2 linked regions of the Nothobranchius furzeri genome follow. The protein of the gene in region 2 purifies or fractionates together with the protein of the main gene of each other region. This does not show direct contact. Links are inferred from orthologs where the notes say so. Each region holds a gene or a part of one and is shown on either strand. Other genes may lie near its edges.

What was found.
Region 1: the proteins of ckap5 (region 2) and slain2 purify together in Homo sapiens (affinity purification with mass spectrometry; 4 studies listed by BioGRID and IntAct, counting the BioPlex papers as one, with this or other methods). This does not show direct contact. The link is inferred for Nothobranchius furzeri from reciprocal best matches to the Homo sapiens genes CKAP5 and SLAIN2.

Annotation. Positions count from the first base shown.
Region 1 is NC_091748.1:39,298,713-39,303,222, reverse strand, and holds the start of slain2 (SLAIN motif-containing protein 2), read right to left. Parts: upstream 2,908-4,510; 5' UTR 2,703-2,907; coding exon 2,233-2,702; intron 370-2,232; coding exon 227-369; intron 1-226.
Region 2 is NC_091744.1:80,669,380-80,673,199, forward strand, and holds part of ckap5 (cytoskeleton-associated protein 5), read left to right. Parts: intron 1-1,911; coding exon 1,912-2,085; intron 2,086-3,495; coding exon 3,496-3,616; intron 3,617-3,799; coding exon 3,800-3,820. UniProt on the Homo sapiens protein: Binds to the plus end of microtubules and regulates microtubule dynamics and microtubule organization. Acts as a processive microtubule polymerase. Promotes cytoplasmic microtubule nucleation and elongation. Plays a major role in organizing spindle poles.

The sequences.
Region 1 (4,510 bases), on a different chromosome or scaffold from region 2:
GTAGCTCAGCTTTTAAAACACATCATTTATGTTTTTTACCAGTGACGTGTGATGCTTTTGAAAAGCCTTCAAGCACCAAGAATCCCAGAGAAAGTAGAAGATAAAAAGGCCAACTGTATCCATTTAAATGATCTAATTCTGCTACATGAATGCCTCCCAAGCTTATTAAAATGCTACCAACTCCTGCTAATGATGCTGCTAATTAAACATTGATAACTCTGTTTACCTGACAGGGTGAGGTCCAGTCTGTGGATGAGAGAGCGCTTGGCTGATTCGATCTCAGGACTGGGATGGTCCAGAGTTTGGCGGCACCATACGATGGGACTCAAGGCTTTTTGCAAGGGACTGTTGAGTTTCGCTTCATATAACCTGCAAGAAATCGAACAATTACTTGAAGCAGATCACAGTTTTTGGTTCTGTTTGGTTCATTTTCAAGGCACCAGTTCACACAATAAAAATGTTCACCAAATTTTAAAGACACATTAAATAGAATCGCTTCCAGTAAAAAAATAGAATTAAAATAATCAAAATCAACTGATTTTATTTATTTTAATGCCAACTAACCCTGACAGGTTGAGACTGGTTTTAATAAAGCATACAGAACTAGAGGGTAGTCGTATTTTAAACCTAGAGGCCGGCATTTAAAAAAATAAACATTAATGAAAAAAATGAGTACAAGTGGAGAAACGTCAATACTGACTTTAATGCTTAGTCAGGTCCGGTTAGTTCAAGTGCCAAACCCACTGAGTGACGAAGGGGTCAAAAAAGAGCAAAGCAGGGCTACGAGCCGTCAGGACGGACTGATGCCGTGTGTTACAGAAGTAAAGCAAATATTTGGTGATGCTTCTGAGAGGAGACACGATGACTTTCTACTGAGAGGAGAAATCTGAGTCAGCATTGGTCAGCACCGAGGAAGCCGAGGAGGAAGCCTTTCATGATGAAAGCGGAGACGCTGCGGGGAAAGCAAAGCTCGTGCAGGGAAATACAAGTCTGACATCATGAGAACACATTTTCTTTGTTTTCCAACACATTAACAGTCAGTCACAAGTTAAAAGGCTCTCAAACATCCACCGACGAGCGCCAGGGTGCATTTTAAATCCAGCCTCGCTAATTCATGGGATTATGGGAGTCTGTGACAGAAGCTGGCGACATCAAGGCACTACGAGGTAATCCCACATATCTGATGCAAAAGGCAGAGTAAACAGCTTGGGCCAAATGAAACGGCCTCTGCCAAGCATGAGTGGGCAATATCTGAAAGTATCCCGACATGGAGAGAAGCAGCTGGCACAGGCGCACTGCTGCAAGGATCGCAGGAGCTGGGAACTGATTAAAAACCCAATTAGTTATAATTAATAAAGGGACTTTGTAGTATATTTACAACTTATGGTGCATTACTGACTTGAATACGTTCCATCAAAGGCTGGGCATTGAATAGCCATTAAGGATCTTGACCACAGAAGAAACTATTTAAATGAGCACTCCTGGAAAAAACAAGCTTTTTTAAAAGGATCGTTATTTTGAAATCCAGTTGACATAAACACAATGCACTGGGAGAAATTCAAGAATGGAAAAGTGGGATTATTTGTGATAACAAGCTGAACATGTTGGTGAATCTTAGTCCAAAACATACCCTGATGTGACCCACTTTCTTTAAATAAAGGCAATTTGTTCTGCAAATCCAATGCTTGCAGTGATCCTAATGTCACAGCCAGAGCTTCTATTCCAGCCTAATGACCGTCCTGCTTCAGTACCATTTCCCTCTCGGTGCTGCAGAACACTTGTAGCTGTGTGCCAACTGCTGGGCTAAAGGGAATTCAGAGGAATGAAAACCATGACTACTCTCCCACATGGCTGCTGGGCAGGAAAACAAGCCCGGTTTCTTGCCACCCCTCCCAAGGAAAGCTGAGCTGTCTGCCACATCACAACACCTCCGGGTCCTGACTCCCAACAGCTGATCATTAACAGCAAGTGGACTAGAAAAATGCAGACTGGTGGGACAATGGTTGGTGAAAAACCAGTCTTTGGATGGCCTCGCCCATGCTAAGTGCCAAAAAACACACTTTAGTTGTCCCTAACGGGACTCCTTCTGTGGGATGACTTCAGATTAAAAACAAAGGTGGGACGACTGCTTATGCCAGGCGTGTGCTGTGGAGGTAATGTGTGGAGCAGCTGACATCTGGCCCTGGAGACACTAACAGGCAAGTTTCCTCCCAGAACAAGCCCATCACTCACCAGCTGTCCTCGTCTTCGTTCAGACAATCCATGTCTTCAAGATCTAAGATGTCCACTTCATCCAGGATAGAGGTTTCCCCTTCAGCCGTCAACTCCCCGGCGTTGTCTGGGTAAAGTGAGTTCATGATCGACACCGCGGTGGCAGCAGAAGCCCCCTCGCAGTCATACGCCCTCATGAAGCTGATGCCGTCATAAGACAGCCTGGGTCTCGAACAGCGGCTGTTCTCCAGCAGACCCCCGTAGCCGCCCGTTCCGCCGAACCCCACCCCAGGGAAGCCGGCCAGACTGGCTGACAGGGACGAGTCGTAGCCGGCGCTGTGAGGTCTGTGGTTCCCGGACAGTCCACCGGACGAAGGCAACGACGTGGACCGACTCCGAAGCTGTTCGTTTTGCTGCTCGAGTTTTTTCACCAAGTCCTGGAGCTTCCGCACCTCCAAGTCCGCGTTGATATTAGAGTTGATATCCTCCATGGTGAATCCTCAGCCTGACGGAAATATTCGGTGCTTTGGAGCGTTTTCTTGGCCGGGGCTCTCTTTTTGCCCCTTCCTTTTCCTTTTCCTACGTGTTCCAAGAAGACAGTTTAGAGTTTAAACGACTTAACGAGCTTATCGCCGTCATCTTCTCTGGATATTAGAGTCTACGGGAAGGGTCGAGGCCATTTTCGTATTCGCTACTCGTCACCAACTGTGAAAGACCAACAGGCGGCGGACAACTACGTCACTGCGTTCAATATCGAGAGCGAGCACGTAACCAACACCTATTTGCTCGCGCACCTACAATCACGTGAGCTGGGTTGGAGGGTCACTGAAAACAGACGGTAGACACCACATTCCTCCAGAGAAACAATGTAATTACACATAAATGTGCGATTTAAACAAGAGGAAACCTTCAAGTTTAAATATTCATACATTCAAAAGTTTGTCTTTGTATTTATTAGAAATATATAATAAAATGAAATAAGGGGGTTCTCGTCCCGATCAAAGGTAGTGTCTTGGAGCAGCCGTACAGTCTTGAAGTTTTGCATTTACCTTCGAGGTGGAACGGGGCCAAGTCGCTTATGAGCAGACTTTTTTCTCAAATATATATATTTTAGTTCCAATGATACTCATTTAAGCCAGTCTAACAGGTCTTTGTCACTTTCACTGACAAATTACCTTACCAGATTTGTGATGCAGCTTGTTTTGGTAACATTGCCGTCCTCATCACAGCACACATAACTGTTCCAGCATGTTTTATCTTCACTGAGTTCTACCCAGGGCCGGATTATCATTGCAGGGTCCCCTGGGCACAATGTGCTTAGGACCCCGCCCCGCCCCCACCGGGCCTCCCCCAACATTACTGTCACCCATTAGCACTTTTTAGACATGTCATAACATTGTCAATATTAAAAATCGCTTACTCTTGTTGATACAAAAGCATTTACCTCCAGGTCAAAATAGTTTTATAACCTAATCACAAACACTCATACCTGATGATGTTCCTGTTGTACCTCACTCATATGTCTTTCTTCCTCTGTCCTCTCTTTTCTCCTCTTTTTCTGTCTCTCTCTTCCTCACAGCGTTCCTGTCTTCTCTTCTGTCTGTAATAACAAAAATGTTGTCAATCTGTGGGACAGTGGGGGCGAGTGAGTCTGCTGTAAAACAGATCCCACTGTCACACTACAACAGAAAATAATGCAGGATTATTTAAAAGATTGTACAGTTATTGAAAAGTTTGCAAAGATGAAATATCTGCATGTTTTTTGTTTGTCTCCTGTTTCCTTCCTCCTCGTCTCCTGTCTCCTTCCTCCTCTTGTCTCCTGTTTCCTTCCTCCTCTTGTCTCCTGTCTCTTTCCTCCTTTTGTCTCCTGTTTCCTCCTCTTGCCTCCTGTTTCTTCCCTCCTCTCATCTCCTGTCTCCTTCCTCCTCTTGACTCCTGTCTCTTTCCTCCTCGTCTCCTGTCTCCTTCCTCCTCTTGTCTCCTGTTTCCTTCCTCCTCTTGTCTCCTGTCTCTTTCCTCCTCTTGTCTCCTGTTTCCTCCTCTTGCCTCCTGTTTCTTCCCTCCTCTCATCTCCTGTCTCCTTCCTCCTCTTGACTCCTGTCTCCTCTTGTTGGTCTCCTCTTGCCTTCAGAAAAAACTGCTTTCTGGCCTTTCTATTAGTAAATTCATTTACAATGTCATCAAAGTCCAGATTCCTGACAAGCTGAGATTCAATAGCCATCAGTGACAGTGAGGTGCTGTTGAGTTTGTGTTGTTCTCAGTTCATTTTTTATTCTTGCCATTAGTGAAAATGATCGTT
Region 2 (3,820 bases):
GCCACGGTATCTTTTGGTTTCAGTGCCAACTAGTAATGTTTGGTATAACCGGTATTATTTTGGTCTATGATGTAGAATTTGTACTACCGGCCAACCGGCTGCGCTTGCTGATGAGGAGCGTGACAGTTTAGGGCTTCATCCGCTTTTGCATTACCGGCACGGATCAGCTGATCTGAGCGCAACTGAACAAAAGTGAAAGAAATCGGGTAAACCTCCATTATTGTGATATTATGGACATTAACGCAGTTATTCAAACTCCTGAAATAAAACTAAATGTTATTTGCTTTTTACGTTTTTCACTTTAGTTCTGATAATTTAGAATTTATTGTTTTCATCACATTTAGTTTTTATTTATTTTAAAATGTCCATCTTTATTCATTTATTGATATTTTTTGTTGCATTGTTTGGAAAAATAACCTCAACATAAAATCTTATAATACAAATTTATACAGATTTATTCTATCTGGATCTTTTGTTCTGCATTTCATTTGGTATGCGAGGTTGTTCAAAACCATTTTTACATGAATAAACAAAAGAAAAGGATATGCGTCGTTACCGCACGTGCTCCAGAACTGATCGTGGTTTTGGCCATATCGCCCATTGCTAGTGCTAACTCGACATGACTATTTATCACCTTCCTGTGTTTGACTCGTCTTCGCTTGTCATCCAGAATCTTCTGGTGCTGATCCATAACTGGCAACAGGCATGAAACCCTGGAACGGCGGTGATGTTTGGGCTGTAATAACCAAACAGCACCATGCTGTTTTTACCCTGTCGGAGCAAGGCCGTGCCCATTAATGATTAAACATTTCCGTTGGCACTCCCAACTGCGAGTTCTCCCACAGACGGGGAAGAGAGGCCTGTGATTTTCATCGCAGGTATACCTCAGCCATGACAGACAAAATGAGGAAACACATCTAGAAAATCACATTTGGATTTTTACAGAATTTATTTGCATATTTTGGTGTGAAATAAGTATTTGGTCAATAACGGAAGTCCAGCCCAATACTCTGTGTCATACCTTTAGGTGGCGATGTGCTTTTCTGGGTTTTTTTTTTCATGTCGTGTCACGGTTGAGGTCTACCTCTGATGGAAGTACAGGCCTCTCATCTTTAAGTGGGACTACTTGCACAGTTGGAAGCTGACTGAATACTATGTGCCTGTCTGTATTTTATCAACCTGCGAATAAGACTCTTGGATTCCATGAAATCCTGCCTCCTGCCTGTGTGGAAAACCTGGATACAACAGGTCCTGGGTCAGTGCATCTTTGGTCAGAAAACCATAAATGGCTTAGCCCAACGCTGACTCCAGATCAGAACCGGAACAAAGTCCAGACAGATCCTCTAATAACCCTTGCCAACCTTTTAGGCTGTTCTAGGAACTCACCTGGTGATGGTGGATCAGTCCCGGCCCAACACTTCCTGCTGTTCACCAACAAACTGGATCCACATGTAAAACGCTGAGCATCAGTCAGACCTTTCAGGCTATTCGGTTCCGCCTGAACAGAGACCCATCCTGTCAGTCAGCTGTAGATTAGGTTCTGTTGGAAGTTCTGACTTCAGGTCACTGTCCCTTAGAACCATTGGGTTCTGATTGGATTCAGTTTGTTGTCTGGTTTTTATTGGAGGTGAACCTGCCTGGTCCTGATCCATGTTTAGTGTTTATTATTTAGGCTCCTCCCCCTTCCCCAGTCCATTGAGACTTGTGTTTTGAGATCAACGCTGATCAACTCCAGTTCTGACCATAAATGTTTTGGCCTCCATTATTGAAGCTGATGCTCTGACCCGGATAGTTTAATGGTCCAAATACAGAACCGGTTTATGACTTCCAGGTTCTGTTGGATCCAGACTGGAGCTGAGGCGGCGCTGATCCGTAAGACCCCAGACTAATTTGTGTGTTCCATCTGTCCAGTCAGTCCCGTCAGAACGCGCAGCACAGCGAGCCGTCCCACCCATCCATCCCCAAGGAGTTTCAGCTGGACCTGGACATGATCGAGACGGACCAGAACCGAGTGTGTGAGCTACCGGACCTGGTCCAGCACAAGCTGGACGAGCTGCTGGAGCCCTTCATGATCCCAAAGCCTAAGTGAGCACCATCGACATACATATATGGACAATGGGTTTCCATAGGCTCCAATAACACGTTTTTGTACTAAAATGGGAGGTGGCCACCACCGCCATTTTGACCGTGTCACAGGTTCCGTCAAGCCCAGACAATTCCATAAAAGGGAAGAGAGGTGGAGCTGAGGGTGGGGCTGTAAGGCTGGGATCAACTGATGACACCCGGTCGAACTAGCTACAAGCTAACCCAAAGCTAACGCGGAGGTGGGAGCTAAGCTAACGGAGGTAGCAACCTAGCTACAACCGGAGTTAACTGTGCACAACACCAGAGCTTCTGAGTCGGAGATACGCCGGGCTGACCGCTGGGTAAAACCGGGTGGAAAACATCAGTCTCCCGAGAGCTCCACAAGCCAATAGTTGGAACCCAGCTCCACCAACATGTTATATTTCAACCCATTTTCTAAAGTGCAGCATTATGTTAAATACACTGGGTTTTACCCTATTACATTAAAATTTCATGGTTAAACAGTACATGTTAAAATCTAAGCTCAGCTCGGCAGTGACCTAAAATACATAAATATAATTTTACTTACAGAAAAAAATGAAGTGGAGACTCCTTGGACGCTCTATTAGTGCAATTAATGCCACAGCAAGTCATTTTGTTCAACAATTGCACAAATAATTTCCAAAACAGAATACACACACACAGACACTCTACTGAGGCCTTTCCACGAAGCTAGCTCTGTGGTCACGTGGGTCTGATGCTCATTAATTATACAGAATTTTAGGCTTTTAATACACTTAAACAGAAGAGTGAGAAAAAAAATTCACCCCCCTCAGAGTTGTCATGAGTATAAACTAGATCATTTAGACCAAAAACATGTTTTGGTACCAGGCTGTAAACATGTTTATTTCTGCTGTGAAATTGGTATTTTTAACATGGGAGTCTATGAGGATTTGCTCGCTTCTGACACCAGCCCCTAGTGGATGAGGGTGGAACTGCAATTTTTGGTACCTCCGGGTTGAGACCAATTTTAGAGCCGCATTGTGGGGGCTTGGTGAGCACACACACGCACACGCATTCACACACACGCGTGCGCACTCACACTCGCATGCTCTCACTTACGTACGCACGTGCACACACACGCACTCTCTCATGCACACACGTGCGCATGCTCACACACACGCACGTCTTCCTTTCTGTCTTAGTGAGGCTCATCCAGTGACTTCGTAACCATAACCAATGCTGATCTTTTTCTAACCTAAACAAAAACTTCATTCACACCAAACCTATAAACCAACCGGTAAGCTTTTAAGAAAGCGAGGACCAGAAAAATGACCTCGCTGTTGGTTCAAACCTCATGATGGTCCTCAGTCAGTGCTTCAACACACACACGCACACACCTGCTGATTTCTGCTCGTCTCTGGTTCTAAGGATACGGCCCATCTCGCCCCACTTTGATGAGCTCCACAACAGCACCGCCTCCACCATCAACTTTGTCATCTCCCAGGTGGCGAGCAGCGACATCGGTACCAGCATCCAGGCGCTGGCGCAGGTACGACACCTGAAGGGTGATTGATGAGATCAAACGTGTCTGTTCACTGAAGTGAACTCTGGACTCAGAGCGGGTTGGTTCTGATGGTCTTGGTGTCCTCGTACTCAGATCTGCTGGTGACCTTTGACCTTAGCTCGTTGGGGTTTAGGTGGTGGTGATGAATGTGCTGCTCTACGTCCACAGATCGACGAGGTTCTGAGGCAG